Drosophila melanogaster: one gene and its partners. The gene in region 1 interacts genetically with each later gene. Each region holds a gene or a part of one and is shown in the gene's direction. Other genes may lie near its edges. The genes, in order: sav, Herc4, sd and kibra.

Region 1 (7,508 bases):
TTATTCCGCAGTCCGGGTTTTTTGCACCCGCGATGAGATGACCATTAAGTACAATCCCAAGGACTGGTTCGTCGGCAAGATCTATGCCAGCATGCACTCCAAGGACTGCCTGGCCAGAGGATCGGGCAATGGGAGTGTTCTGCTGACGCTCCAGATCGGCAGCGAGGTAAAGGAGAACCGCTGTGGCATCCTGCGTGCCTACGAAATGACACAGGAATACCAAAGGTAAGATGAAGTCCAATGTCCAGTCCATTTTTTTAATTATATCATTTGCATTATTTAGAACGTTCATATCTGCTCTGGTGGTCATCCAAAACAATCCAAATGTGCAAACCCAGGGCGACCGGCTCATCAAGGTTGGCTGTATACAGAGCAATGCCACCACATCGCTGGGCGTTTCGGTTCGGGACAGCAGTGTGGATAGCTCAGAGCCTGTGCCCAGCGCCATTGCACTGGAGTCCTCATTGGAGTACACAGAACAGTGAGTGTATTCTTAATAGAATCCCTCAAAATGCTTAATTCTATCACAATCGATACCTGCAGCATGTTCCCACACGAGGGTGTGGTTCACTACAACAGCAGCACTGGGCCCCATCCGCATCCCAGCATCTCGCTTCAGATTTTGGATCTATCCCACCAGCACGAGACCAACGACGTGCAGATTGGACAGAACCTGGAACTACAGATTGTGGCGGAGTACAGCCCACAGCAGTTGGCAGAGCACATGGAGTTGCAGCTGGCACCACTACCCGACTTTCGTGCTACCTCGCTGGTGGCCAAGACAGCGGACAATGAGAACTTTGTGCTGCTGATCGACGAGCGAGGATGTCCCACAGATGCCAGTGTGTTTCCCGCTTTGGAAAGGGTACACACAGCCAGCAGGAGCATGTTGCGCGCTCGCTTCCATGCCTTCAAGTTCTCAGGAACGGCCAACGTAAGCTTCGATGTAAAGATTCGCTTCTGCGTGGAGCGCTGCTCGCCCAGCAATTGTATTAGTTCATCCTGGCAACGGAGAAGGCGACAGGCTGACCAACCAGATCGTAGACCGGAAGACCTACGAGTTCAGAACCCCGTGTACATCTCCACGGTGGTGGATGTGGCTCCGCAACCAGACAACTTTACCAGATCGCAGGAGGAATTGCCCCTCAACTACAATATCCGGGTGCACGGTCCGGACCAGAGCAACACCAATAGTTATCTGTACGGCGAGCGGGGAGTGCTGCTCATTGCTGGCATAGACGACCCGCTGCACCTGGATAACGTTTGCATCAACCAGAGCCTGCTGATTGCACTGTTCATCTTCTGGCTGATCTGTCAAGTTGCCCTGCTCTTCGGCTGTGGAATGGTGCTGCAGCGCTACCGCCGGCTGGCCAAGCTCGAGGATGAGCGACGCAGGCTGCACGAGGAGTACCTGGAGGCGAGGAGAGTCCACTGGGCGGATCAAGGCGGATACACACTCTAATTGACGGCTGGAACGCAATGCGTATAAAATGCATCTTAATTTAATAAACATAAATCTAACATAAATCTAACAAATGTTTGCAACCGAGGATAAGTTCAGGAGTTCTTCTTGGGATGGTAGTGCTCCCACTTGCGATGGTTTAGCGAATTGAAATCCGGGCAGTGGTGAGCGATTTTGCGCAAATAGTCGGACAACTTGAGCAGCTCGGTGTCCGTGCCACGGTTGAGATGAGCCTGACGGAATGGGCGGATCTTTAGGCCGGACTTTGGGTTCATAAGGAAGTTGCGACGGATGTCATCAAACATGATAGTGTTGCTCGAGTTGTATTGCTTGTACAGGGCCCAGATTACACCAAGCGGCTTTACGTCCACCACACCGCGCTCCGGCACATGAACTGATATCATGGCGGTGGAGTCCAGATAGAACATCACCTTGTAGTTATCGTTACTGGCCACGCCCAGCAGGCGCATCTTTTCCTCGATCCAGCGCATGCTGGTGGCGGACCAGATGACAATGTCGTAGTCCTCGTAGGCGGAAGTCAGAAACTCGTGCAGATACGGACGCATTAGCTCCGTGCCTGTTTCAGCAGGCGATCGGTGATCGAATAGGGTATAGTCTATGTCCAGGACAAGCAGCTTCTTGCCCTCACGCGGCGGCGCTAACTCCTTGATCTTGTAGTCTCGCACACGACGCTGCACCTTGGCCAAATAGACGGCGGAGTGCTCCACGGACTCTTCGCGTTCATCGGCGTCATCGAAGTCGTCGACCACTTCGCCAATATTATCGGGCAGGCTGCACGCATCCTCGATATCGGCCTCTGTGGAGCCCACCATCATAAGCTTAAAGTTGGGCTTCAGCTCCAAAGCGCTGATCTTCACATTGTCGGCTGCTGTCTTTCCTGCAAGTCATTGGATCTTAAAACTGAAATATCCCGAAGCCTAGGAGTGTCACGCACCTTTGTACTTCAGGTTGAGCAGCTTTTGACGTTCCGGACGCACCTGTGTCTTGCGGAATATCTCGTGACGCAGCACTTCCACGGTGTCCTGGTCGGTGAGGTCCACCGGGTACTCCTTACCACTCCATTTTACAATCACTACCACTTCTTTGACCTCCATCTTAGCTGGTTTCTATTCCGCTATTAATTTATCACACCATATATGGTAATGTATGTTTGTTGGATAGAATCCAGCAAGTGGTTTGCAATAGTGTACCTTAAAGATATTAACTAATTTATTAGAAGACCATATAAACAGTCGAGTTGTCAGAAGTCGATAGATACTATCGATTGCAACGCCCGGCGTTATCGATTGCAATCGGCTTGCAATAAAAATAATGATTTTTTGATTATATTTTTCAGAGATTATTAAAAAATATTTTAAATTTTTTAAAATTATATATTTAGCAATTAAAGAAAGTCATGCAAAGACATGAGGAATGTCCCCAAGTTGCCAATAGGCGATTGTTTCGCCAGTTCATTGGCCACACTGGTCACCAGCTGAAAACACAAAAACCGATCGTACAGCATAAATTTAGCTCGAAAATGGACTAAACAAAGACAGCGATCCGGAATCCGAGCGGAAACATAGTCTGCATGAACTATCTAACGATCCTGCTGTGCAACCGAAAACCGACGATGCTCTCGCGCCGGAACAAGGAGAAGTCCCAGCACAAGGAGGGCGTGGTGGGGAAGTACATGAAGAAGGACACCCCACCGGATATTTCGGTGATCAATGTGTGGAGCGATCAGCGGGCCAAGAAGAAATCGCTGCAGCGCTGTGCGAGCACCTCGCCCAGCTGCGAGTTCCATCCGCGCAGCTCGAGCACCAGTCGGAACACCTACTCCTGCACGGACTCGCAGCCGGACTACTACCATGCTCGACGAGCACAGAGCCAGATGCCCCTGCAGCAGCACTCCCACTCGCATCCTCACTCTCTGCCCCACCCCTCCCATCCGCATGTGCGTAGTCATCCTCCCCTGCCGCCCCACCAGTTCCGCGCCAGCAGCAATCAGTTGAGTCAGAACAGCAGCAACTACGTTAATTTCGAGCAGATCGAGCGGATGCGCCGTCAGCAGTCGTCGCCACTGCTGCAGACCACATCATCGCCGGCGCCGGGAGCCGGAGGATTCCAGCGCAGCTACTCCACCACCCAGCGGCAGCATCATCCCCATCTGGGTGGTGACAGCTACGATGCAGATCAGGGCCTGCTAAGCGCCTCCTATGCCAACATGTTGCAACTGCCCCAGCGGCCACACTCGCCCGCTCACTACGCCGTCCCGCCGCAGCAGCAGCAGCATCCACAGATTCATCAACAGCACGCCTCGACGCCGTTTGGCTCCACGCTGCGGTTCGATCGAGCTGCCATGTCCATCAGGGAGCGACAGCCCAGGTATCAGCCAACTAGGTAAACTGCCTCTTGAAGTACTATATTTGAATAGATAGCGCGCGATTGATAAAGTGGGTAGAGATAATATGAGCAGCTCTTGATTAAAGGAATAATCCGTAAAAACTACATATTGTCAAAAAGTGCTTAATATTATTATAACTTTTAAACAATGACAATGCACGAAATGTTTTATTTTCGAAACATTTATTGTTCAAAGATTTTTTATTTGATAACAGATTGCTTTATTTATTTACAATAAGAAAAGTTGATGTACAAAACCGGTTTCTACTCGCCTTACAATAATTAAAACAATAACACAATATATGATTTTCTGTACGAGGAATATAATGGAATATATATGATATATACAACATTTTTAAACACATTTTCTCTTCTGTTTCCACAGCTCTCCGATGCAGCAGCAACAACAACAACAACAACAGCAGCAGCAGCAGCTGCAGCACACACAACTGGCAGCTCACCTGGGCGGCAGCTACTCCAGCGATTCGTACCCGATCTACGAGAATCCGTCCCGCGTCATCTCGATGCGCGCCACGCAGTCGCAGCGATCGGAGTCGCCCATCTACAGCAATACGACGGCCTCGTCGGCCACGCTGGCCGTGGTTCCGCAGCATCATCATCAGGGTCACCTGGCGGTGCCATCTGGAAGCGGGGGAGGATCCCTGAGCGGCAGCGGTCGTGGTGGCAGTTCTGGCAGTGTTCGCGGCGCCTCTACCTCAGTGCAATCACTGTACGTCCCACCGCGAACTCCGCCCAGTGCGGTTGCCGGAGCGGGAGGCAGTGCCAATGGGTCGCTGCAGAAGGTACCATCACAGCAATCGCTCACGGAGCCCGAGGAGCTGCCTCTGCCGCCCGGCTGGGCCACTCAGTACACGCTACACGGTCGGAAATACTATATTGATCACAATGCGCATACCACGCACTGGAATCATCCGTTGGAGCGCGAAGGTCTGCCGGTGGGCTGGCGGCGGGTGGTGTCCAAGATGCATGGCACCTACTATGAGAACCAGTATACCGGGCAGAGCCAACGTCAGCATCCATGCTTGACCTCCTACTATGTCTACACGACGTCTGCGGAGCCACCGAAAGCGATTCGACCAGAGGCGTCGCTCTATGCCCCACCCACGCACACTCACAATGCACTGGTGCCGGCCAATCCCTATCTGCTCGAGGAGATCCCCAAGTGGTTGGCCGTCTACTCGGAGGCGGACTCGTCCAAGGACCACCTGCTGCAGTTCAACATGTTTAGCCTGCCGGAGCTGGAGGGCTTCGACAGCATGCTGGTGCGGCTCTTCAAGCAGGAACTGGGCACCATCGTGGGCTTCTACGAGCGCTACCGGTAAGTGAGCGGCCACATGCCGCTGCATTCTCCGCTCTCCGAAAAGCCACTACTCTCTTGTTACACCTTTCAGTCGCGCTTTGATACTCGAGAAGAATCGACGCGCCGGCCAGAACCAGAACCAAAACCAGTGACCCGGTGACCAGGTGACGACTGACTCAGACCACATACTCGCCAGCAGCTATATGCACATCATAGTGCTCCTGTAATCGACCTTTAACTTATTTAACCATCGACTCATCGCGAAATCAGTGCCTTATACGAAACCAGACGAGATGGTAGCCAAGCAGATCCATGACAGTTCGAATGCCTTGATGAAACGTAGAATTGTGCTACGTTCTATATAACCTTAATGTGATTTGAGCTTGGCGTTTGTTTGTAATGTGAGCAAAGAAAATTAAACTGGTTTACTGATCATCTTACCTGCCGAGCGCAATTGTAATCGATGTGCCACCTGAAACCCCACAGGTATTTAACCTGGGAGTCCGATTCATCGACGGATGTTTTGGAAATTCAGCGCCGCGAAGTGTAAATAAAGGGCAACAGTTGGTGGCCAAGTCTTACTCGACTTGGCTTGGCACATATTTCCGAGTTCCATGCCAAGTTTTCGATTCGCTTGCAAAAATTATGCATTGGGCACAAGTGAATCGTGGCCGATTCTGTATTGGCAAAAAAAAAAACAGCGCTCCAATAGAAAGTGAATCTTATGTTTGTTTTCGTTTGGCTATGCTTATTTTTAGTCGAACCTGATAATTCATTCAGTCGCCTCTTATCGAATGCTTATAAAACTTTATAGTCACTGTTTCTGCAGGTCCCTCAAAAACAGTTTCTACTGCTGATAAGAAGTTTTCGAAGTCTGGGGAGTATTCGGCATTGGAAAGGCCAAAAGTTGTGTTTTATTATATTTTGAACATATTAAACAGGATACATAAAACGAGAGTTTTAGATTGTAATTACATTTGTCATATCTTTTGCTAAATTGATAAGTAAACAGAAAATATGACTCGATGGATATTATTGACTAATAATATATATTTAGGGGTTTGGTATGATTACTTTGTACTGTGAGATACAAGTTCGTTTGTCCCACAGATACTTTTCAATTCATAGCTTATCCTACAGATACATTTCAATTCATAGCTTATCCCGTAGATACATTTCCATTCATTGCTTATCCCACAGATACATTTTAGCATATTTTTTTTGAAATTTGAATTTGAAAAAAAAGTGTTTTTTTTTTTTTTGTTTTGAGAACTACTCGTCTTGTCAAAATATTTAACTGTTCCCGACTGAAGTGCCCACCTTTTCGGCCGCCGGGTTCTCAAGTGCAAAAATAATGTATAATAAAAAGCCAAGATACGTCGGCGGTCCGCTCTCGCCCCACTTGTTGTTGCTGCTGCCGCTGGTGCGTCGCTGCCGCTGCCGCAGTCGACGTCGACTCCATCGCTCCAATATTTAAACGGATCCATTGGATCGCGCACTCAGTCGCACTGGAGAGTCGCCATCGCAGCCATCATCATAGCATTCCATTCCACTTGTAGCCATCGGCAGTCGCTCAATCGTCAGTTGGGACACATTATTTAACTTCATTCTTAACGTGAGTGAATTGATGTGTTGGGTGGCGATCATGCATATAGCATAGGCAAACAACTGTTCTAATCCGCATTATCTTAATCACAATAATCCGGCGGCTTATACAGATGTTTTGCGTTAGCAGTTGGCGGCTAAAAGCCTCTGCTTGCCCACATGCCAGTGAAAGTTCTAATCCGGCTCAAACAGACGCACAACAAGCGTATCTCGTGCGTGGAATCATGAATGAATAAATGGGTGTTACTGTTAACTAACAATGGACCTTTTTACCAATCAATCGTCTTATCTATCACCAGAATTGAAACAGAATTAGTGAATAACTTATGGTGCATATCAGTTGAAACATGAAGATTCGTGTGAACGATCGTGAAAGATATGGTGTTCGAACTTTAAATTACCCTTGTAGTTTACCACTCTCATTAGTTTTGATTTATGTAGAACCAAAATTTGGATCGTGACTTGCGATTAGTATTGCAATCGCAGTGCATTGCCCAATCTATTGATTATCTGCAACTTGTGGCAGACTGCCGCAATAATTCGACGGACACTATCAGCTAGCTCCATTGATTGAGATAAGCCCGTTCTCACGCGGTGTTTTACACTTCTTGGCAATCGCCAAGTCACGGCCCTCGCCATATAAAAAATATAGTATGAACAATCGGGAATCTTTTGGTTTTACGATCGACCGACAAAGCCCATGTATTTCCTGTT
Region 2 (9,225 bases), on another chromosome or scaffold:
GCAAGCGCAAAACGGAGAAGTACGAGAGCGACAGCGAGGAAGAGCCAGGTGCCAGTGGCAAGTCGGGAAAGAAGAAGGGCAAGAAGCCGAAGCCGGTTAAAGAGTCCAAGGAGAAGCTTTCTGCCAAGCAGCGCCTCAAGGTGCTTTCCAAGGAGACGATCTCCACCAGCGAATCCGAGTCTGACGGCAAGCGCAGCAAGAGCAGAAGTAGAAGCAGGAGTCGAAATCGCAGTGGTAGCCGAAGTGGCAGTGCCTCTAGAAGCGGCAGTGATCGCGAGGCTAGCCGCAAGCGCAGCAGGAGCAGAAGTGGATCTGGATCTGGGAGTGACAGTGATGAAGCAACTAAGCGGAAGCGCGCCAGGAATCGCATCGAATCTGGCGGGGAATCGGATAGATCTGGGTCCCGTGCTCGCTCCAAGTCGAGTTCCCGTTCAAGATCTCGATCCAAGTCCGGATCTCGATCGAGGTCTCGCTCCAAGTCGGGATCCCGTTCGAGATCGCGCTCAAAGTCCGGTTCCCGCTCGAGATCCCGCTCGCCGTCGGGTTCAAGATCCCGCTCTCGCTCTGGCAGCCGATCCAAGTCCGAATCCCGTAGCAGATCAGGGTCCCCGGAAAAATAACGCACCTCTCAACCGTGTTAAATCACTTTTGACTATATTTAGAGTTGTCTTCGAGAGCTGCAAAAAGATACTAATAAAAACGAACTAATTGCCACACAAAGGCAGTGGAGTAATTGCTATTGGTTTGCTGTTCAACCGTAATCCGGATTCCCAAGTCTATTGGCATGGATGGATTAGGTAATGGACAGGGCTGATTGTCTGGGCCAGGTCAACAATCGACTTCAAACACGTCTGTGCTGCTGGATCATGTCTCTTACGATTACAGCCATAGGCTGCGAGTGGCGCAGGACGAAAGCGTGGTCGATCTTCTTGGTGTCCAGCTGGGCGTCCACCTTGGGGTAGTCTTTTTTGAGCTGGTCATAGTAGGAGATTGGTACCCATCCGTCGGTAGTGCCGTAGTAAAACTTGAGGAGGTCCAGGTTCTGCTCTACAATCTCCCTTTGAATCCCGCGAACCCTGGCCATCTCATCGTCGGCCAGGAAGACCACCTTCTCCGCTACCGATGGTTTGGAGTACTTTAGGGCGGTGCCCAGAAACTGTCGTGGAATGGAGAAAATCAAGAAGTAGATCTGTATCAGCATCAGGCGCAACCACACGGGCAGAAAGTTGAAGAAGCTGAAGAAAATGTAGCCAAACACGGAGTACAGGGGCATGGCCACCTTGGTGAACACCCATCCATTGGGCGACTCCATCATCCGCTCGACGGTGGGGAACAGCATATAGCACTTTTGGATGCGACTCCGTATCCGCTCGTTTTCCAGCAGCTGCAGGATCATCCACGCTCCGATGGAGTGCCCAATCAAGTGGATCTTGACATCACTTGGCACGTATTTCTCGATGAAGGCGATTTTATGCCGGATTTGTCCGTCCAAATTGAAGAGCTCCTCGTTGCCGCTGAGTTGAGGAACCTCCCGAATACTGGCCTCTGGCGGATCATCATGGCCAGCGTGCCCTGGAGGGAACATCAAGTGTGCTATTACCGACTCAATGTGGAAACGCCAGCACACTCACCTATCACCCAAACTGGAAGATCGCCCAACTCCTTTTGCAAAGTGCCTGCGAACTCTGTGTAGAAACCTGGCAAACCGGGATTGCCAGTTATGCAGATGACGATCTCCTTCTCGGTTATGGTCTCCTCAATCCACCTGCCCCATGTGAATATGTGGGTGGGAATGGAGTTGATGTTGACGTAGGCCTCCTGCATATTTTCCGCTGCTGTTGGCGTGGCAAACTGCGCTGAAAATCAATCGGCACCTGTGTTGATCCCACTCTTTTCACACGCGATGAGTTGTCTAATCCCCGTGGCAACCGGTTTTCCTTTGTCCAACCACCTCGGCTGCAGCCTTTCACGAGTTTCAAATCTTGAGGATTGGCGCGGTTTATCCCCAGGGTTGATAGCTCTGATAAACACTGCTATGTGTTTCGGCCAATTGTTTCCAGCAAGAATGGACAAAGGTCACAAGTTCAGCGGCTTAAAAACGGCTGATACAGAAACCAGGGCGGCAAGCTATGCCAAAATCAGATGTTCTATATTAGCGGATACTTACCATGATAACGATTGCTCAGACAGAGAAAAAGTGTAGATAATTTTGTTTAAAAAAGAAAAAAACCAAAATGCATTAACTTTAAAAAAAATACTATGGCGTAAATTATTATTTGTCAACCTATTGATATCTCTTTACAGTACTAGAAGCTTTTATAAATTTCATATTAACTTTTACCTATCATCATTAAATATTCGAAAGTACTCCCTAACATTAGTTACCTACGTATACATTTTTTATTAACCAAAACTTATATGTAAAATCGCAAATTGTTTCTTTTTTCGGAAAAAATTGAGAAAACATTTTGATATTCGTGTTCAGCATAAGTTCTAGAGAATTATCCGATCTTAAGGTTTTTCAAAGCGGATCTTAAAAGTCCGCAAGCGATGCAGCCCTAGCTTAAGCCCATTGTCAGGGCTGCCAACGTGGGCAATGTGGCCCTATCCCAACCAGTTGGCATCGCCACCATTATTTATTGGTTTTTTGTTGCTGGTTTTTGAGTTTTTATATTTTTTTTCTAGAAGGCCTAAAATTTATAGAGCGTTGTAGGTAACAGGATTCAGGATTAGACTTAGATTCTGAAGGCACACCCATCGAAAGCTTGACGAGGCATGAACCGAGCAATTGGAATCGGGAGCAAGTGGACACAAAAGAATGTAGCTAACAATTGGGGACATTCTCGAAAATTCTTGTAGCACCAACAAGTAAATTATTATACCCAGAACAACCGAAGGAGCTATTGGGCGGATCCAGAGCAATGGCATCTGGCAAAGAGCTCTATTGCTGGGGAAGCACGTCACATGGTCAATTGGGACTTGGCGGAATCGAGGACGAGCAGGTAGATAGATGACTTTCGGATATAAGCCCACTGATATTACTTTTGTATGCCATTGATTTCCTCACAGATCCTCACACCTAGTCAGATACCCTGGACACCGGACACTGCTGTACAGCAGGTCGCCTGTGGACACCGACACACTCTCTTTCTGACCGCCACTGGAAAAGTCTACGCTTGCGGGAGCAACGACTACTCCCAGCTGGGCCACGATCTGCCCACCAAAAGGCCACGTATGTCGCCATTTCGTATGTAATCTTCATTTATCGTCTTGTCTGTCCACTCTCCACTAACTCCACCTCATCTCCATACTCACCAACTACGCGAGCCACTGCTGTGAACCGAGTCTAAACCCCGCAATCATCTTCCGGCCGACTTTTTGCAGTGCTTATCCCCGAACTGCAGGATTACGTGATCATCCAGATCTGCTGCGGCAGCCGCCACTCATTGGCGCTCTCCGATTGGGGCCAGGTCTTAAGCTGGGGCGACAACGACTGCGGCCAGCTGGGCCATGCCACCGATAAGGAGATCGTGCAGCTGCCCAAGGTTGTGCGGCAACTGGTCACAAAGACGGTGGTGCAGATCGCCTGCGGCAACAATCACAGCTTGGCACTGACCAGTTGTAAGTATGGAGTGAAATTTAATGGATTCCATTCACTAGATACACAGATACACATCAGAACTACTTGAAACAAGATAAGATAATTGTATTTCCCAAGTTTAGGGCATTACTAAACAATTCTTATCTAAAGCTAAACAACGATACCTTCCGACTAACATCATCCTTGACGTTTCTAGGTGGCGAGCTGTATTCATGGGGTTCCAACATCTACGGTCAGCTGGGCGTGAACTCCCCCAATGATTTGACACATTGCAACTATCCCCTCCGACTAACCACTCTGCTGGGAATTCCGCTGGCCGCAATTGCCTGTGGAGGCAATCACTCGTTCCTCATCTCCAAGTCCGGTGCGGTGTTCGGATGGGGCAGAAACAACTGCGGGCAACTGGGACTGAATGACGAAACGAACCGCTCGTATCCCACCCAGCTGAAAACGCTGCGCACCCTGGGCGTGCGATTTGTGGCCTGCGGCGATGAGTTCTCCGTTTTTCTGACCAACGAGGGAGGGGTGTTCACCTGTGGAGCTGGCGCCTATGGGCAGTTGGGTCATGGCTTTAGCTCGAATGAGATGCTACCGCGAATGGTAATGGAGCTAATGGGCAGCACCATCACTCAGGTGGCCTGTGGCAATCGGCACACTCTGGCGCTTGTTCCATCGCGCGGCAGAGTTTATGCCTTTGGCTTGGGTAGCTCTGGGCAGCTGGGCACGAGGAGTACCAAGAGCCTGATGCTGCCGCAGGTGGTCATCGGTCCTTGGGTGTCGCCCAGCGGATCAGCCCTGTTGCAATCCAATGATTCACAGGTCTCGTTGGTCATCCGACAGATTTTCTCAGGTGGCGATCAGTCGATTGTGACCACAACTTTGTTTGTAGACAAGGTGCCGCCCGAGGATTTCAGAAACTACAAGTAACTATAGAAGCGTGTTACTTTAGTATAAACATATAAAACTATAAACATATATCTACTTTGCAGCCCCAAATCCCAGATCCTAACCCTAACAGCAGAAGTCACCAAGCAGTGTGCTCAATGCAAGCAGGGCCTTCAAAGCGACATGGATCTACTGAGCTCTATTGAACTAATATTTAGAAGCCAGGCGTGTTGGAATGGTTCCTTTCTGCTGGATCACGACCGACACTTTGGATGCTCGGTTCGCAACCATGGACTGGATCTGAAAGCAGCCCAACTAGCATTCGACAATCTGCGCGCTGTGGAAAATGAAAGCATTAGGCAGGTGGTAAGTTTTCGCCATTACAAGCATCATTGGTATCTGTTTTAATCATTTCATTGTTTTCAGATCTGGGACAATATAACCAAGGAGCTAGTTGGTTCGCTGGTTTGCTCACCGGCAGATGTGGAGAGCATGCGATTATATCTTCTGCTCCCACTTTACCACGAGTTCGTCAACTCCAAGCACTACAAGTCACTGCAGGTTCCGTTTGCCAATGCCATATTTAAGCTAGCAGAGAACCCACGGAAAGTGCTGAACAAGTGGTTGGCCCAAACACCGGCTGAATACTTCGAGCATCTTGTCCAGAACTTCTTGCATGTTGTCATCCATATTATAAGTTTCAAAATGGGCTTGGCTGCCGCTAGTCCCAGCGCCGAAAGACGTCAACAGGTATTTAGATTTCAATATAGGGCCATACCAGTGTCAATTAATTCTCTATTCATAATCTAGCTGCTGCCATATAACACTGAACTCGAGATCATTCTAAAGCTGATGAAAACGCTCTGCCAAATTAACAACGAGCGCCATGATCGCCTAAACTATCAAATCTTTTACTGGCCTGATCTTTCGGATTATGCAGACGTGCAGCAGGAGTACGTTAAATGGATCATGGCCGACACTGCCAGAGATTTCAATATTTGCAACTATTCATTCATTTTCGACCAGTCTGCTAAAACAGCGTTACTCCAAGCGGATCAGGCGCTCCAGATGCACTCCGCCATGGCCAATGCGGCTACCATGGTGGGTTAATGACGCCGAACAGAAATGATTTATGAGTTAATAACTACTTTTTTATCCAGCAGGCATTCTCCTTTTTCAACTACGGGATGCCCATCTCGCAGTTCATTGTGCTCAACGTGACGCGTGAGAATCTGGTGCAGGATTCCCTTCGAGAGTTGCAGCATTATTCGCAGAGTGATCTTAAGAAGCCGCTGAAAATCAAGTTCCATGGCGAGGAGGCGGAGGACGCGGGTGGCGTGCGCAAGGAGTTCTTCATGTTGCTGCTCAAGGATCTGCTCGATCCCAAGTACGGTATGTTTAAGGAGTACGAGCAGTCGCGTCTGCTCTGGTTTGCAGATCTCACCTTCGAGACGGAAAACATGTACTTCCTAATTGGCGTTCTCTGCGGTCTGGCCATCTATAACTTCACCATCATCAACTTGCCATTCCCACTGGCTCTGTTCAAAAAGCTGCTGGGCAAGCCAGTGGATCTCAGTGATCTCCGTCAGCTTTCCCCTCCGGAGGCCAACTCCATGCAATCGCTGCTCGACTACCAGGGCGACGATTTTAAGGAAGTCTTCGATCTGACCTTTGAGATATCGCGGGATGTATTCGGGGAGGCGGAGACGAAGTGCCTTAAGCCCAACGGCAATGAGATAGCCGTAACACTGGAAAACAGGTGAGTGTAGTGACCATTTCTGTTGCGGCACCTGTGCTAACTATTATCCAACTTCAGGCAGGAGTTTGTGGATCTCTATGTTGACTTCGTATTCAACAAGTCCGTCGAGCTGCACTACAATGCGTTTCACAAGGGCTTTATGAAGGTGTGCTCTGGCCGCGTGATTCACATATTCCAGCCGGAGGAGCTGATGGCCGTGGTGGTGGGAAATGAGGATTACGACTGGCAGGCGCTTCAAGACAACTGCGAGTACCGGGAGGGCTACACTTCGGTCGATGATACAGTGAGTTGTAAACTAAAGATGGTCTTCCTAGACATTAACCTTGTATCTGCCGCAGATCAAATGGTTCTGGGAGGTTATTCATGACATGTCCGAGGCGGAAAAGAAGAGTTTTCTCCTCTTTTTAACTGGCAGCGATCGCATTCCCATCCAGGGCATGAAAGCCCTTAAAGTGAGTTCTTAGATTATACCTATATTGCAAAGTGTGTCCTTTACCGTATCCGTACCGATTTAGCTCACCATTCAACCCACCCCGGACGAACGATTCCTGCCCGTGGCGCACACGTGCTTCAATCTGCTGGATCTGCCGCGCTACAAGACCAAGGAGCGCCTCAAGTACAAGCTGCTACAGGCCATCCAGCAGACGCAGGGCTTCAGCCTGGTCTGATCGATCTGATCTGGACCCATTTTTTTACATCGACCTCAAACTACAGGTATTTTCCGAAATCTTCGGATTTCGCGCATTTTGGATTGAAGAATGAAAATTGGCTACTTTCAAAGACAACCCCAACGTGGAACACTCATTTATCAGCGATCAAATCAGCAAGTACAATGTCGTGTTATAGCTTTAAACTCTAGACTAGTTATTAATATCGCATTGTTATGGAGAGAAAGGAATTCAAGGAGGTAAATAAGGTTGGTGCATCAGTCTGAGGACAACAACAAATGTCTAAATTTCCGTGTAACTTTTACCAATAAAGTTATATAATATGGCTTATATATTGTTATTTTCATTGATCGCAGTAACGGTTAAGCTTTAAACCCGATAACGATAGCTTCGCTTCTGTCCGGAAACGAGCCGCGTTGGCAGCACCGTTGGCGCACAGCTGAGCCCGAAATGTGGCGGCAAATCGAAGTCGTCGAAGTCAGTTCAACTTCAACTTTGGCAAGGTGCGCGGCCGCGTGCGGATTTCGTTCGTTAATTTCTTCATTCGCCGCCGAGAACTTTTTCGGACGCTCATTTGCATGCGCTGGGCGTGCGGTGCTTGACATTAACCAACCGACCGATTTCGAAAACTGCGCGCATATATGCCGTCCTAGCCCCGCTTCTTCAAATTATCCACCAACACCAATTCGCTTACAACAAACGTTGTCCAAACGTCACCTTTACCGGGTCAAGCTAACGGTACCCGCATCGGAAAAGAAATTCAAACAGGTAGAGCACTGCGACCACAAAAAAGTAACGACTTCGGGCGACAGTTTGTGAAATTATGGGTACTTAGGCCCCCAGTTTGCAATTACATGTGTGCCATCCTGGTCGCTTGTCCATCTCAAACTTCTTAATTCGCTTTATATGCCGCGAACGAGGCGAGCTGGCCTACAAAATCAATTACCATCGCAACTTTTGCATATCCTGACAGCTAACAAATGTCCGGGCCACAAAATCCAGCGATACCATGCCGCGCACATGAGTGTATAACTCAAAAAAAAAAGTTAGCAAAGAAAAAATACGAAAAAAGCGGTTCTGCCGGTTTGCCCGTGGTCGTGATCTGTGCAGCGTCTTCCGCTGCTTTCTTTCCTTTGCACGATTTGAACTTGGACACCAAACGCAACAAAAGCCACAGCGGCGGCACAAAAGAGCAACAAAAGCAGGAATGCACTGCGAGAAACGTTTCCTCAAGGATTAGTTTAACTCATAAATGCAAATGGTTTACGCAGTTTCTAACTTTCCTAACAACTTTCAATGATAATCAAGGGTGCTTTTTCATGATCGGTTCTTTGAAATAATAAATAATATGGGAAGATGATTCTCCCAGTGCAGCAGCCACCGCAATCGAAGAGATCTGGTTTATTGTGATGCTCCTCTAATAAAGCGAGCGTTTAGGCACCGGCACCTCAATTTCGCCGCTTCGCTCGCTCCTCCGTTCGCTTCCTGGGTCTTCACTCCACACATCGTCTGCGAGGATATTTGTAAACTGGCTGGGGGGGTTCACCTGTCCCTCGCTCCCCGGGGATGAGCTTGTTTGCCCAGGTTTTATAGCAGGAACAAACAGGCGGGGCACACAAAGAGGGTCAACAGGGCGTATGTGTTTGGCTATGGGGGAGACATGAGTAATCGGTGGATATAGCTGGCGGGGATGTATCCCCTTGCTCCGCTTGCCTACTCGCTGACCAATTGAAATTGTATCAAATTTCAATTTCGTTTCCACACTGCGACGGCCCTCCATTAATTTGACCCAGTTTTGAAAACAGCGGCAATAAGCCGCTTAAAAATAACCAACTGCAATGGATCGAAAACGAAACCGAATGATTCGCCAAATCTGGCAGCTGTTCAAATACAAGCTCGCAACAATATAATAATATTGTCAAATACCTACCTGTAGTCTTAAAATATCTGGGATCTGCTCACTTTTAAAGTACTTAATGGTATTGAAGCTAGACTAGAGGCGATTGTAGAACACCTTTTTTCGAGTGCACAAAGCATTGCCCCCAATGTCATTGCCTCACACTTGGCACCCAAAAGAAACGAATTGGAAAACCAAGCGTATCACGAAAACCCGAATTTTGGTAATGATGTAATGCCAACTTTCTGCGAACTAACCGTTTGGCAAACAAACCCAGAGGCCAAGAGAACAAACGAAGAACCGGAGAAGGAAATAAAATTGCACGCCTTTTGGTTCGGGTAATTGCGATATTTATTATCGCCCAGCCTTGTCATGTGCCCATTTGACTCTATGGAGTCCACGGAATATTCGAAAT
Region 3 (7,375 bases), on another chromosome or scaffold:
TGTAGTTGTAGTTCGAGTTCGTTGGATATTAGTCACACCCGTTGCGAGAGCGAGCGCGAGAGCGCAGAGCAATGTACATATATGCATGCGCGTATGCGTATGTGTTTGTATTTTAAACTGGCAGAGCGACGCTCGCTCGGTCGCTCTCTCTCTCTGGCGCTCTCACGCTCTTGCTCTGCTTCTAGCCCCACAATTCTGGGTGTGTGTGCGTGTGTAGGATGCACTTGTGTAGGTGATATAGTGCTGTTTTCTGGGTTTTGATCGGGTTGTATTCTGCGCGCGCGCGTGTGTGTGTGTGTGTATGTGTTATGGCCAGTGTAGTCATCACTTGTGTTAGGAAACTGAAACTAAACAACCAGATCCACCAGTTATAGTTATGCTGGCAGTCCTCCACATTGTTGTTGTTGCTGCTGCTGCTGCTGCTCTTGCTGTATTTTGCAGAGAATGAGTTAAAGTTGAGTTAGCCAGGCCAAGCAAGCCAACAACAACGGCACGAATCCAGCCAAACAACAACAGCAACAACGGCAACAACATCAACCAGACCCGACCGACCAGCTATGGTGTGTTATCGACGCTGACGTCGGCGTCGTTCTTTGTATTGATTCGAATTTGGATTCAGTCGATGAGTTTCTCTCGCTTCTGCGCGTTGCGTTTTTCGCAGTGTTTCCGCGATTTTTCGTTGTCGTCATCGTTGTTTCGTTTGCCTCGTTGTTGTGTGTGGTGTATTGTGAGTGCGCCCCCCGTTGCCGTTGCCACCGCCGCAGACGCCTCGCCCCCCTTTTTTTTTTGCTTCGTACAGCCGTGAGCGGCTGTAAAAGTGTGCGTGGGTTTTTAAGATTATTAAAAGCGATTTTCATTTGCAATTTTGGATATTCTGCTGCCTCTTCTGGTTTTTTTCCTGCTTCTTTTTTTTTTTTGTTTTTTTTTTTTTTTAATTTTGTTCTGTTTTGTGTTTGTAATATCTGTATGGGAAAGATTTAAAGAAAATGTATCTTAAGATGTGGCCACTTTTTTGTTTCACCTTCTCGCTCGCTCGTTCGTTTGCGCTCTCTTTGGTCTTTTTGTTTTATCTATTTCTTATATCTATCTTATAAACAGTAGGCGTGTGTGGGGAGGGGAGGAGGGCATCGCAAGATATGGACGTGTGTAGCTTTATAAGCATAATATCCTATGCCTCTAGGTGGCACACCAAAAAAAAGAAAAATGAAAAAAGAAATCAAAAAAATCAAAATTTCATAAAAATACATATCTAAATACAGATGTACATGTGCTTGCACACATGTGCGTACGCTTTTGCACACCCATAAACGCGAATACACACATGTGCACACACATGCATGCAATTAGAATTGCACTTGTGCAGAAAAACAGACTATTTGCTTAGGCCCCAAGCAGATGAGAAAATACACATGTACGGGATACCATCGTCATCGTCATCGTCTTCTTCATCACCAGAAACAGAATCGGAATTAGAATCAGAATCGTCATCGCCTAGGAGCCCCATCTCAATTACGAGCTTCTCCATTAACTAACGAAGTGTAGGAAAAAGTCTAAACCAAACCTATCCCATCAATAGTTGGCTCTCCGGTGGCCATTCTTCTTTCTTCATCTTATTGCCGCAGCTGCGCCTTATTTCCACTGAAAGGCTTACTGACACATTCTCACTTTCACAAAGACCACGATATTGTACAAAGCTGCTCATACAAAATACACAGTTATATATATATGTACATATATCGGGAGAGCGATGAGAGCGGGAGAGCGAGAATAGAGTGAGATTGAGAAGATGCAGATGTGTGTGTGTGTGTTGCCTGTTTAACTTTAACGGAATCCGAAAAAGATCTTTCTCACTTCCTAAGAACTCCGAACCAATTCATGAATTATTGCAGATGTGAGTAAGTATTGCGAGTTTGCATGTGTGTGCACGCGTAGAATCGAAAAGTAAAGTAGTGCAAAAACAAGTATCGAATGAGCCACATAATCCAAAGCGAAAGGGTTTCATTTGTTCGGTTTTCGTTTGAAAGTCAGCACAAACCCCCCGCCCCCGTCAACGGACCCGTTCAAAGACGCTGCCATAACTTGTACACATGTATAATATAAATTAACAAACCGCTCCATCGTGTTATCAACGACATAGATAATAACACGCCCAGCGCAGAGCCTGAAAAACTGAAAAGCTGAAAAACAGTTACTGTTACAAGCTAATAATAATAACAAGAGTGAGTGCCTTGCCTTTGACCAGCCGGAGACGACAACAACGTTTGATGTTGTTGGTGGAGACGGTGACATCAGAGTCTAAATCTAGCGCGAACAGATTTCTTTTAATTCCGTAAACTAAGTGGACAACGCACCGTACTCGTACCGCACTCGTTCCGTACTCGTTCTCGTACTCGAAGTCGTATTCCTATTCCTCCGGGCGGGCATACTCGTGAATAGCGAAACCTAAAGGAAATCTACGAAAAAAAAGCTGGCTGCATGAAAAACATCACCAGCTCGAGCACTTGCAGCACTGGGCTGCTGCAATTGCAGAACAACCTGAGCTGCAGCGAGTTGGAAGTTGCCGAGAAGACAGAACAACAGGCAGGTCCGTTGCCCATCCGAATTACCCAGTCATACAAAGACACACCTCGTAAATCCAAACTCTATGCCATAAACCTACAACTCCACCCCCACCCCACACACCCACTCCACATCCAGCGCCCAAAAGTTTGTCGATCTCTGGTTTTTCTTTGGTGACTTTCCTCGTGGGTTCTCAATGCAAAGCACATGCACATGCATGGCGGGTTTTCATTTGAGAAAGTCACCCGAAAACGGAGACCTGAACTGCAGGGCACCTTCTCTCCATCGCTATAGAGTAAACTCTCCACCCATCTGCACATATCTCATACATATCGTACATGTAAACCATACATACATACATACATACATACATACATACCCAAATCTAAATCTAAGCGTTCTAAATCCGAAAAGAGAGGGCAAGCTGCCACCAACTTTCGATTGCCAAGATGAATAATTCAATGGATTAGTCAGGTTTAAGATAACACAGTGGTTCTTATAAGATGAATGGGGGGGGGGGGGGGGGTTAGCTCGAAAATATTTTGCCAACCGAGCGGATTTCGAAAAGAGCTTTTCTCGCATGTGTTGTTCATTTTGCACAGCATTGCATAATCTTATTTTTGGCCAGAAGCTTGTAAATGCAGTGTGGGAGACAATTCGCAGCACAAAAAAATCATATACATACGGATTTTGTCGATCTGGATTTTGGCGAAATATGTTGACATGTCCACGCGATCTGCTGTTTTACGATATATTTATTACCTCAGTTTAAGAGCCATCAACTTGTCTGCTGTTCACATATACATAGATACACATTATGAAAAGATATATGTACATATGGACATATACTTTTATTTTTATTACTTTACTGGCAATAGTGAGCAACGAAGACTAATCGAATAGCTGAATGTCCTATTGGAATCATTAAAAAAAAAAACCTGAAAAAGATTTGGTATACTTGTGGGCATTGTTTGCCACAACACTTGTTCGCAACTTGTCGGTTTTAAACAAAAACTTTCAAGCAAAACTACAATAATTCACTTACTATTTTTACTTCTGAATCGCATTCTACGAAATGAATTTTCTAAATGAGCTGTGTATATTTACAATAATATCGTAATACCTTTCTGCAAACAACGCAACTATTGATAAGTGATAAAAGAAAATGAAGTGAAAACAATGAAAAAGTCAACTTGGACAAGCCGAACACCATATACTCTACGAGTTACAACCAAAATGTATTACTCACGTTGGTATATGACCAGTTGCTATCACAGCTATGGGCTTCTGTAGCCTACGGAATGAGTATGTCATGAGTCATTGGCGAATATCTTTAAGAGCAACGAAAACATATCCGATTGTGATAAAGTTAATCGCAGTTACTTAAAAAAAAAAACAGCAAGCTCAGCCCATTTAGTTGACCGATCGTTCTTATGACTGCTGCGTTACTTACTCAATAAGTAAGTACTTACTCAATTTCCAGCATATCAATGAATGATAAATTTGAAGAACTTTTAGCAAATTATGAGTTCTTTACACAATTATGGTTTTCTGCCTTAAATTTCCTATGTTAAGTTAAACGTACGTAATTTTCCAACAATATTTGAACTATATAAACTTCAAAAGGCTTTCGGAAAATTTAAAGTTTAGTCACCTGTTTTAGCTTAAAATATCCTATATCCGATCAAAATCGTAAATATATCTAATGAACCATTCTAGTTTTCACTTCCTTCGCACATTTGTTGTCTATTTTCTAGCTGCCTGTTCTTAAACACTTGCTCTTAGAAAAGTATTTCGTAATTTCATTATTCCTTTATGTTCATTATTAACATTACCTCACATAATTTCATTAAAAGCTAAGAGGACAAAAGATTTATTATTAATTATTTTGTCGTTGCACCTCACAGAAATTCCTTTTTAACCTTTGCCAGGTTGCAAATTCGTTTGTGCTGACTTCTAAAGATTTTCGGCAGCAGAAAATGGGAGTGCGTTGCTTTAGGGGTTGAAATAATGAAAGGGCAGCGCACCGAACTCTATATGCCCTATGAATAATCAATGAATTAATACGTGTACAGTGTTTCGCTTAAGACAGTTTAAGTTCTATAGTGCAATTGTGAATAATTAAAATTTTTTACAGATCGTTATGCTGATTGAAAATATATTTGTACACTTTATAGGGTTAGAATCGCCACCTTAATTTCCTATAAAACTCTATTGACTTGGGAATAATTTGAAGACCTAAAAAATGATCTCTACATCATGTGTATTGATCTGTATTTTATGTAACCAAAAGATTATCCTTTTGATAGCACCTTCACACGAATATAGGATATATATGCTATACTAAACATATTGTCAATAATTTGATAATGCATTGCACTGTCCTTTTATATTATTTGTCACTAAAAAGATACGAACAATAATTTTTACCTGTTACGGTTTTCTGCTGAAAGTCAAAGTGCGTTTGGCTGTGTAGGGATTGCGGATCCCAACTTTGATCCTGAGTGCGCTAAGTACGTCATCATCGAGCTCCTTACCATCCCATCCAGGCACATTCTTCGTTTATATATGTATGTATGTATATGTATGTATAAGCGGATATATATATATGTATGTACATTATGTATGTGTATGCGACGGGGCATACATAAAGAAAATGAAAAAGCAGAATGCATACCATAAATTCCAATTGCCGCACAACAAAATTGCGGCTTCTAAGGGTAGGAATGGAAAAGGCAGGAAAAAGAACACACATTCCCTTATTAAAACCGAACAGAACTGAACAGAACGAGCAGCTGCGTGTTGAGTTTTCGAGGCGGAAATTGAGTTCAAGCGTAGGAAAGTCTGTTTCTAGTTTTTCTAATTGGAAATTATCCCGAACTGAACCGCTGCTGTTTGAATTCAGAAATTCTGAAATGCCATGTGATAATATTAATGCACGGTTCAGCTATTTTGTCCGTTTCATTACACTCCTTTTCGTCCTTTTGTGTGTGAGTGTGTGTGTGTGTGTGTGTGTGTTTGTGTGCGTGGAGTGCTTACGAGATTATGAAAAATGGCACATTCACCCCCTAAAACGATCCCAACCCCTGCACTGCGCCATGCATTTCCAAGCTGTGCAATATGCATTCTACTTTTTTGATAGCCAAACATACAGTCGTTTCCGTTTCGGGAAATTCTGGTATTGTGCCTAGGATAGAACTGGGATCGAACTGTCCCGACTTGTCCTGGATACTGGCGAACTGCTTCCATACGACGCCATTCTATTATTAACTACACCCATCTATACCATACTTTATTAAACTGAACTAAGTCCAGTTTCTTCTTAATATAGCAGATTAACTATGCAGTACTATACCATTATTTACTCTACTAACTACCATTGCAAGCTACATAGCTGACTACAAACTACTATTGCCTATTATACCATATATTCCATACCTTACACTATAACATTCTATTCCTTATCATATCATATATGGATACCATAGCATACCATGCCTCTGATCCTTGATAGTGTTGACTCGCCCCCTGTCTGAAGTTCCGTAGCACACCTTTACCTATGCTAGACTATAGACTATACCATACCATACCATGCCATACCATACTATACCATACCATACCATATCATACCCCTGCTGACCCAGACTCTCACTTGACGCCCCACACTGCAGGCTGGCTATTTGAAGGCTTCTACTTCCATTCTATTTTATTCTATCAATAGTACGCTGCGAGGGTATGTGCCACACTGCATTCTATCCGCTGTCTCACGAATACGAATGCCTAGAGCAACCATCCCTATAGGTTTATATGGGCGAAACACCAGGGGCAGAAAAGGAACCGGCCAAAACAAAGAATAGAAATATGTGGAAACTATACGGCACATTTCAGTTTGACGTGCGCGTTTCTCTTAACCAGACGCATTTTAGTTTTTGTTTCTTTGCCGCTGCCGTCCGGGATTGTTTTTTTTTTTTTTCACGCTGTGTGGAAGAAGCAAGGCGAATACAAAACAAAAATAAATTACAAAATAATTGAAATTATAATGATTCGATAGATATGTATATAGACTCGTACGTGTGCACACTCAGCAGTGATATGTTTGACTGAAACGATTTTCTTCGTATTCGAAAAAAAAAGAGCCCATAAGAGTTTTTTGAATCTTATTTTGGAATATCACCAGCGATATCGGCTTTACAGTGGCGCCCTTCTCAAATCATTTAGATTCCCTCGAGGAATTCAAGGAGTTATCGGGTGAGTGGATTGGCATCTGATGCTCAATTCAGTGGGATATATGCAGATGCTTTGATTCTTTTGAAAATATTCAAATATACCTAAATCTTATTGGTTTCTTTCTTGTCATTCGAGTTTCAATAATGCTAAAGCGTTGAACATTTAATTAAAATCGACTAAGAGCAAGAGTATCTCGACTCTTTGAATACTCATTACCTTTTTCAAAAAGTTTTGCACACTCGCAAGCGTAATGTTTATCAGCACTACAATACTATTTGTCAATTGAAAAGTACTATTTTCGAATTGAAAAACCATTGCAGTCTGGCTTGCCTAGTAATATAATAGAGTCTATCCTCTGTACCTGTTACATGGTGTTCCACAGACACAGCATACCCTCGAATACCCTACGCGAATACACCATCCCTTAGCTGCGCCAAATATTTTTCATCGAGTCCACCGTCCACCGGGGATGTTCGAATCCAATCCGCACTGCTTAATGCCGTTCAACCCTTTCCAAATATTCACTAAACGAAAACGTAAACAATGGTGTGTTGAAACTATTTAAGTTTCTATTCATTTGCAAAGAATT
Region 4 (7,037 bases), 8.3 Mb from region 1:
TAAAACGGGCTTGAAATAATTACTGTTTCCGATTGAAAGGCATTAATTAAGGTAATAATACATAAATGCAGTGCAAAACTAGCTTAGCACTTGTTTAACTAATTAAATGGATTTTTTATAATATATAAAACTTAGCTAGTTAAATTCAAAGAAAGTAAATAATATACACAGTATTTGGCATTTAATCAATTCCCATACAAGATTGCTAACAACACAAATTGGATTAATTAGTTTTATTTTCTTTCAATTGAAGCAAATGGAAAGCTTTTTGGTTTTTTTTTTTTACATTCGGCGGGGTGCCAGATCCTCGAATTATTCCGTTTGTTTCTATTTTATTTTGTCATTTTGTCTATTTGGTTTTTATTTTATTTTCAATGCTACACGCATGCGATTTGCATGTCTTATCGGCTTGGAAAATTTTGTATTTATTTGGAATGTTTATTCACTTGTGCTTTCGATACAGGCCCCCAGTCACCTGAAGTTCAACCCGTACATTCGTCGCGGATACCGCACCTTTCTACCTTCCACAAAAATGTGCCTGCAGAGCATTTTCTGGTGGACCAATGAGACGGTAAGATTGCCACACTAGAATGATACTCCATTCCAATTGGAGCTACAATAGTTTTCCTTAAACTCTATTCCCTATTATTATAACATTATTATTGCTATATTTTTCATAGATCAACATCTGGAGCCATCTGGCCGGTTGCATCCTGTTCATTGGACTGACCATCTTCGATCTGCAGTTCCTGCGCCTCCACGCCTCCCTGAGCGACCAGGTGCTGGTGGTCTGCCTGCTGGTCTGCTTCTGTCTGTGCATGCTGATGTCCGCCATATACCACATCTTCTCCTGCAAATCGGAGGAGCACTACGAGCTCTTTCTGTCCGTTGACTTCCTGGGCATTTCGCTGTCGCTGGTGGCCATCTATATCAGTGGCATGTACTATGCCTTCTGGTGCCACACCTTCCTGCGCACCCTGTACTCCACGATTGCACTGGGCATGTTCGCACTGGCCATTGCCGTGCAGATACCCCGTTTGAATGTGTCCATGAACGGCAAGGTGGCGGTGCTGCTACTCTGGTCTGCCTATGGAATCATACCTCTGGGCCACTGGGCGGTGGCCATGGGCGGTCTGGAGAACGAGCTAGTCAGGGTAGGCATCAGTTGGAAATTTATGGAATCTTGTCATTTGCTAATCCATCAATCATTACCATTTGCAGCTGATGGTGCCCCGCATCGTGCTCATGTACTTGCTCTGCCTCGTCGCCTTCGTTTTCTATGCGGCCAAGATTCCGGAGCGCTGGTTCACCGGCAAGGTGGACTTCGTTGGGCATTCGCACAACTGGTGGCACCTGATCATCGTGGCCGCCTTCTATCACTGGCACAACACCGGACTGGTCTATGCCGAGTATCGCCTGAATAACGGATGCACTGCACCAGTTCTCTCCTAGAACTTGAAGATCCGAACATCTGAGTTAAGATCCGAAGATCCGAGGAGCGGAGATGGAATCCGGGACTCTAGTAGACTAAAGCTTAGTGTAAATAGTTTATGGGGCGCTCTTTATCCGCTAATAACTAATATTTAGTTGTAGTTGTTGACCGATATGATTAATTTATGTTTAATTTACCAATTAGTTAGGGTTTCGTGTTAGACAATCCAGATCCAGATAGTTGGCATCGCATAAGCGGCAAAAAGGTTTCTCTCTTTATATCCTAATTGATTTCCTTTAATATATACAATTAAACAATGTCAATGAAATTGCATGTGTCTTGAGCTGAAGCTGTGTTAGTCTTGTTGACTCAATTTTTACAATTCATAAAATGCAAATACAATATCAAACGTACAAAGCAAGCGAAATTGTGGTTTTATTGAAGTTATGTTTCGGAAACATAATTTATTTTTCTATCTATGGTTGGGATACATATTGATTTCGAAATGCGTAACTCAGTTTACAGTCTTTTTTTTTAAATTTTTTCTTTTTCTGTTTTTAAAATGTAACGGAAATGTTAGGATTAAGATAACAGTAATTGTTAACAGAGCGAGTTAACATGATCTATCGGAACTGGCTTTGATTAACATCGCTTGAAGAACCGAACTAGTTCCTGTTACCAAGCCGATCTTTGAACGTACAACTCCTATTTTCTTCCCTCAACAATTACACCTATGCTTGGGGACTACACAAGCCAAATAACAATAAATACTTTTCGTGCATGATTGTTAAATATCGCATCTCTGCAACCGCGTCAATACAGCCTATAATATCGATATCAACCAATACATCGAATAACATCGCCGCGAGTGTATCGATATGCAATGCGATGTTTTCTGCTACACCACTAGCAGCGAATGTTACCAAAACAAATTCCGAATCCGAATCGGACGGTCATCAAGCGCGCTACTCGTGTTTTTTGCTGCTCCCCCAAGGAATTCCGGAACCGAAGAGATCGGCGACGGCGCGAACTCACTAAACTGAAGTACATATTTTTTTGTGAACACCAAGTGGATGGTTGGATTATCGTCGTTAATTAGTTTCAATTAGGCGAAAATAAGAAAATAAGTAAAGGAGTTCAAACGCTTGCAACAACAAGAAATGAAAAGAAGCAGCACCAACTGTGAGCAGTGATCGTGTGCGCTTGTGTTCGTCCCCCATATGTGTGCGTGTGTTTGAGCTGGAATGGAATGCAGTTACGAAAAAAGTAAATAAATAATTGAGAGCGCGCCCGCGCTCTCCCGCTCTCTCTCCCCTGCGCGCGTGTGTATTCGAGTTGGCTCGGTGTGTGCCTCTACGCCCGTCACCGTGTGGCCGTGTTGTGTGTGTGTGTGTGCGGGTCGGTCTCCATTATCGCCGGAGCAAAAGAAACGGAATTGAAATGTCTTTGCTAATGTAAACAGCGCAAAGAGAAACCCCCCGAAAAAAGAAGCAAACGTAGATAGCAATAGCGAAAAGAAAGAAAAGGCGCGCGTCGGGTGAAAAATCCAGCAACAACGACGTTTTCTCAGACTAACCAAAGTACACGGCGAGAAACAAAGTTAAAATGCCGAATCTGCAACAAACCGCATCGCAATCGCAGCATCATCTGCATCCCCACCACCTGCGACCCCAACAGCAGCAACAGCAACATCATCATCATCATCAACAACAGCAACAACAACAACACACGCATCATCAGCAGCAGCAACAACACCACAGCGACTTCCCACTTCCCGATGGCTGGGATATCGCCAAGGATTTCGATGGCAAGACCTATTACATAGATCATATCAACAAGAAGACCACCTGGCTGGATCCCAGAGATTGGTAAGTGTTCCGGAAAGGGTCAATTAAAGAAACGAAATTGAAACAAGGGCGATCTGAAATATAATTATAAGATATTTGCATTTGGAAAGTTAGTTTAAACTTATTAAAACTACTAGAACAATTATCAGAAATGAGGCATACATAACGAATGACCAAACCAACAGGTTGTGTTTTAAATAAGTTATAGATGCTTTAACATCGCAAACTATCAAGAGTGCTTATAAACCCCAATTGCTGCTTAATGGCTAATAAGTGAAGCAGATAACTCATTGAGAATCAAATTAAAATAGAATAAAATTCTTGGCAAGTTGTTAGTGGCTTAAGAAGGCATAAAACGCAGGTGAGAGATCAGCAGTTCACTCATTCAGGAAGCTCCGGCAAACGAGCTAAAAAAAAAACCCATATAAATTCCGATTCCGAAGCGCTCTTGAACCGGAAAGAAAAGGTGCGTGCTGCAGCTGTGTGTGTAAAGGAATGCGATCGGTGGAGGCGAAATGAAGCAAAAAAAAAAAAGAAAAATAAAAGGAAAATAAAATAAAGAGGCAGCAGCAAAATAAATTACATATTTTAAACAAGACAGCAGCGGCAGCAGGCAAAACAAAACGCAACGGAACGGGGGAAAAACTTGGAGTAAACATTCCGATGCGATGATTAAGACTCCGAATATAACTGAACTGAACAGAGAGTGGCAACAAACAAAAAATGGATTGTAAAGCCAGGGAAATACAACAACAAAAATTCGAGTGAGAGAGAGCAAAAGTTAAATAAAGCTCGGCGAATGATCTGTAAAATAAAAGGAAAACAAAACCAACAAACTCATACGTAATGAGTGCGAGAGAGCCAAAGGAGAGCGAGCGAGAGCGCTGGCGATCAGGCCATGTATCTCATAGATACATTTTAGTTTGCCGTTCGCTCACATTTTTTGTCTTCCATCTCGCTCGCGCCCCTCGCTGCCGCCCCACTCGCCATCTCTGTCTGTTGCTTTGCCCATAAACAATTGCAAAATGTACGTAGGAATTTTTGCAGTTTCGAAATAATTGATTTCTGAAATTCTTCGCCCTCTCTTTCGCTGAGTTCAATTTTTCGCTTTTCACAGATAGAGAAATGTGTAGTGTTAGATGGATTTTGTATCTTCAATTGCTCGATAGCAAATGCTTATTGCCTTTCTGCAGTTGTACAGCATTTTCATTGACATTAGACACACTCTATAATTTCAATATCACGTTGCAAATGATTTATTAAGCCATCAAAGCTTGAATATTAATTTTTTCCAGTGCATTTCTATCTGTGTACGCCTTATTGTTTCAGTTCGTTTGGTGCTGTGTGCGCTTCACGCTTTCAATTAACACAAACATTCCCTTTGTTTGTTTCAAATCGCATGGACATTGTTGAAAATGTTTCACTGAATTAAGCGTTGTGGAATTTCAGCTCTTCCGCCCGCCCGCCTTTGAAATTGAAACGAAACATCTGCGCATTTGCTAGGGTTATGCATCAAGTAGATTATAAATGCACACATGTCGTTCAAATGTCTGCCAGTGGGCACAAAAAGTCAGCGATCTATGAGCGTTACGTTCCGATTTCGGGGTTATAGAAATTTAAAGCTTAAATGACCTTAGGGGATTTACTTACTATTTGAAAAACCAATCAGATTATGAAGAGGGATACCATAGAATATAAGAAATAAAAACAAGAGTAAATGTTTTATTGGTATTTTCTGTATACATCTGCAAAGTATGTCTTCGAATTTAACTAACTATTCCATATTTTTCCAAAATAGTTTTACCATTTCTATTGACCAAACAAAACTATTTAATGCTGTATACACCCCTTATTGGTATTTTGCCCAGTCGCGCATATTTTGTATCCAAATCATATACGCTTTTTGGTCCCCTCTTCGGCTGTCTATCGATCCCCCGCATCCAACTTGCTATTGCTATTGAATTTTCAAAATTGCTGCCGGTAGCGCGCAAAAATTCCAATAAACCATAAATAAATTTCTACAATAAAGCGAAGCGAGCCAGGCCTCGGGCAACCTTTAAAGGCCTCGCCACGTTTCGAGCACAGCCAACAGAAATCACAGAAAAAATAAATATCTATTCCAATATGAGCATGCAAGGTCGAATTATCGATACCCTTGAAATATTTTACCGATAATTGCTTGGGCCGGCTTTGACGCAGGTTTTTCTAAGGTTTTCTAAAATTAAATAAACATGTTTGCAATAGTTTAACAGTAGATTCTGTTTGTAATGTCTATAATTTTCAAATTCGGCTTAAGTTTAGGCATTATCCTCATTAGATAGTAAATCGTGTAAGATTCAATCAATTAATTAGATGACTTTTGTCTGTAAACTAATAAAATGACTGATCAAAATAATGGATTTTAAAATTCGCAGCGTATTCAACTTAAGTAAATGTTCATACAGCATTTCGACGGGCGGTATTTTTTGTGATTTTCGTTGCTGTTGGCTCTCTTTTGTTTTTTGTATAAACAAAAGTTAACAACGACTTGACTTGGCCATGCGATTTGGCATTTTTTCGACGCCCGTCTTCTTCTTTCGTTGCTCATATTTTTTCGCAAGTTTTTGTGTATTATTTTTTTTACCAATTGTTTAGCCATAAACAAGGCGGCGACATAGTGGAATATTTTTCGTGTGCGTTTTTAGACAGAAAACGTGTTTGGTGACAGTATTTCGATCTATTCATAGGAGCTACAAAAAAAAGAAATAACCAAAAAAGCACGGGGAAAAAATCAAAGTATGAAATAGCAACAAAATCGTTTGGCTACCAGTTGGGATAGTGATTCGAACTCGTTTGTTTTACATAAACTCAAATCGCCGCCAAAAAGGCCTAGCGAAAGCGGTTAACGATCGCTGTCATAAGTCGGACAGAGTGGCGCCAGCGGCGGGGGCTGTACTTGAGTATCTGCATCCGATCGGTAGCACAGAAAAAGATATAAAAAAGCAATAGGTGCACCGCAAGAAACGGTGCAACGGTATTCTAATAAATGAGTCAGTTCATTGGTATATCTTACTACATTAACTTAACCTTATCATCAGTATGTTGCCATATTTCTCGCTGTGTACTCTAGTCCCAACCAGATTGTTGCGTTCTAATTCCACCTGTGGCATTTTAATTCGAGAGCGGACAATCGAGCGGTTGGTTCGATTTCGATGGATCGCCGGATGGCCGGATTGCTGGATTGCTGGATTGCTGGATCGGCCAATTGCATAAAGAACGCAAATCGGGCGATCGAAACAAGAGCTGCAAAATAGGGGAGAGGCGTGAATGCGTGTGCTGCCAGGCATTGTGCATTAGATGTGGCGATTTCTATCCGACTCAAAACGAGCTAAAAAAATTTGCATAAAATTCAATTTGGCTTTTGCGGCGAAAGATGCCAGCACATCCATACGCGTATGTATAAAGATACATGCATATATAAGTATAACTATTCGTACATATATATAGATATATATATATATGCGCTGGTCTGTACATGTATAGCAACTTGGAAAGCTGCAAAACGGCATTTTTCATTTAATAAATTGCACAAGGCAATGCAGCAACAACAGCGGCAGCAAGAAAAGTGGAAAGAATGCAGATGCAATTGCCGTTTGCTGCTGCTGCACCTACAGTGATAAATGCCATAAAAACAATGTCAAAAGATTGCAAAACAGTCTTTATTGCACCCAAACTGATTCAAATGTACAAGTAGCGAGCGTAAAAGATAGATGAAATGT

Evidence for each region.
Region 2: of sav (region 1) and Herc4, changing one suppresses a phenotype caused by changing the other (phenotypic suppression), as found in Drosophila melanogaster (one study listed by BioGRID).
Region 3: of sav (region 1) and sd, changing one suppresses a phenotype caused by changing the other (phenotypic suppression), as found in Drosophila melanogaster (one study listed by BioGRID).
Region 4: of sav (region 1) and kibra, changing one suppresses a phenotype caused by changing the other (phenotypic suppression), as found in Drosophila melanogaster (one study listed by BioGRID).

Annotation. Positions count from the first base shown.
Region 1 is NT_033777.3:23,056,729-23,064,236, reverse strand, and holds sav (salvador), read left to right. Parts: upstream 1-2,932; 5' UTR 2,933-3,053; coding exon 3,054-3,865; intron 3,866-4,253; coding exon 4,254-5,207; intron 5,208-5,278; exon of another isoform or gene 5,279-5,280; coding exon 5,281-5,341; 3' UTR 5,342-5,628; downstream 5,629-7,508. Other genes in the region: CG17111 (uncharacterized protein), read left to right, coding at 12-225, 284-481, 544-1,462; Ublcp1 (Ubiquitin-like domain-containing C-terminal domain phosphatase 1), read right to left, coding at 1,558-2,360, 2,418-2,577. UniProt on the Drosophila melanogaster protein: Plays a key role in the Hippo/SWH (Sav/Wts/Hpo) signaling pathway, a signaling pathway that plays a pivotal role in organ size control and tumor suppression by restricting proliferation and promoting apoptosis.
Region 2 is NT_037436.4:1,311,089-1,320,313, forward strand, and holds Herc4 (HECT and RLD domain containing E3 ubiquitin ligase 4), read left to right. Parts: upstream 1-2,607; 5' UTR 2,608-2,820; exon of another isoform or gene 2,821-2,886; 5' UTR 2,887-2,921; coding exon 2,922-3,002; intron 3,003-3,069; coding exon 3,070-3,247; intron 3,248-3,384; coding exon 3,385-3,621; intron 3,622-3,797; coding exon 3,798-4,524; intron 4,525-4,590; coding exon 4,591-4,852; intron 4,853-4,912; coding exon 4,913-5,236; intron 5,237-5,296; coding exon 5,297-5,587; intron 5,588-5,646; coding exon of another isoform or gene 5,647-5,649; coding exon 5,650-6,245; intron 6,246-6,302; coding exon 6,303-6,528; intron 6,529-6,583; coding exon 6,584-6,697; intron 6,698-6,760; coding exon 6,761-6,913; 3' UTR 6,914-7,242; downstream 7,243-9,225. Other genes in the region: Ctr9, read left to right, coding at 1-620; sturkopf, read right to left, coding at 842-1,572, 1,632-1,824.
Region 3 is NC_004354.4:15,811,712-15,819,086, forward strand, and holds the start of sd (scalloped), read left to right. Parts: upstream 1-3,587; 5' UTR 3,588-4,019; intron 4,020-6,439; exon of another isoform or gene 6,440-6,807; intron 6,808-7,375. UniProt on the Drosophila melanogaster protein: Transcription factor which plays a key role in the Hippo/SWH (Sav/Wts/Hpo) signaling pathway, a signaling pathway that plays a pivotal role in organ size control and tumor suppression by restricting proliferation and promoting apoptosis.
Region 4 is NT_033777.3:14,719,574-14,726,610, reverse strand, and holds the start of kibra (kibra), read left to right. Parts: upstream 1-2,349; 5' UTR 2,350-3,037; coding exon 3,038-3,300; intron 3,301-7,037. Other genes in the region: CG7530 (uncharacterized protein), read left to right, coding at 464-571, 681-1,154, 1,222-1,452. UniProt on the Drosophila melanogaster protein: Regulator of the Hippo/SWH (Sav/Wts/Hpo) signaling pathway, a signaling pathway that plays a pivotal role in organ size control and tumor suppression by restricting proliferation and promoting apoptosis.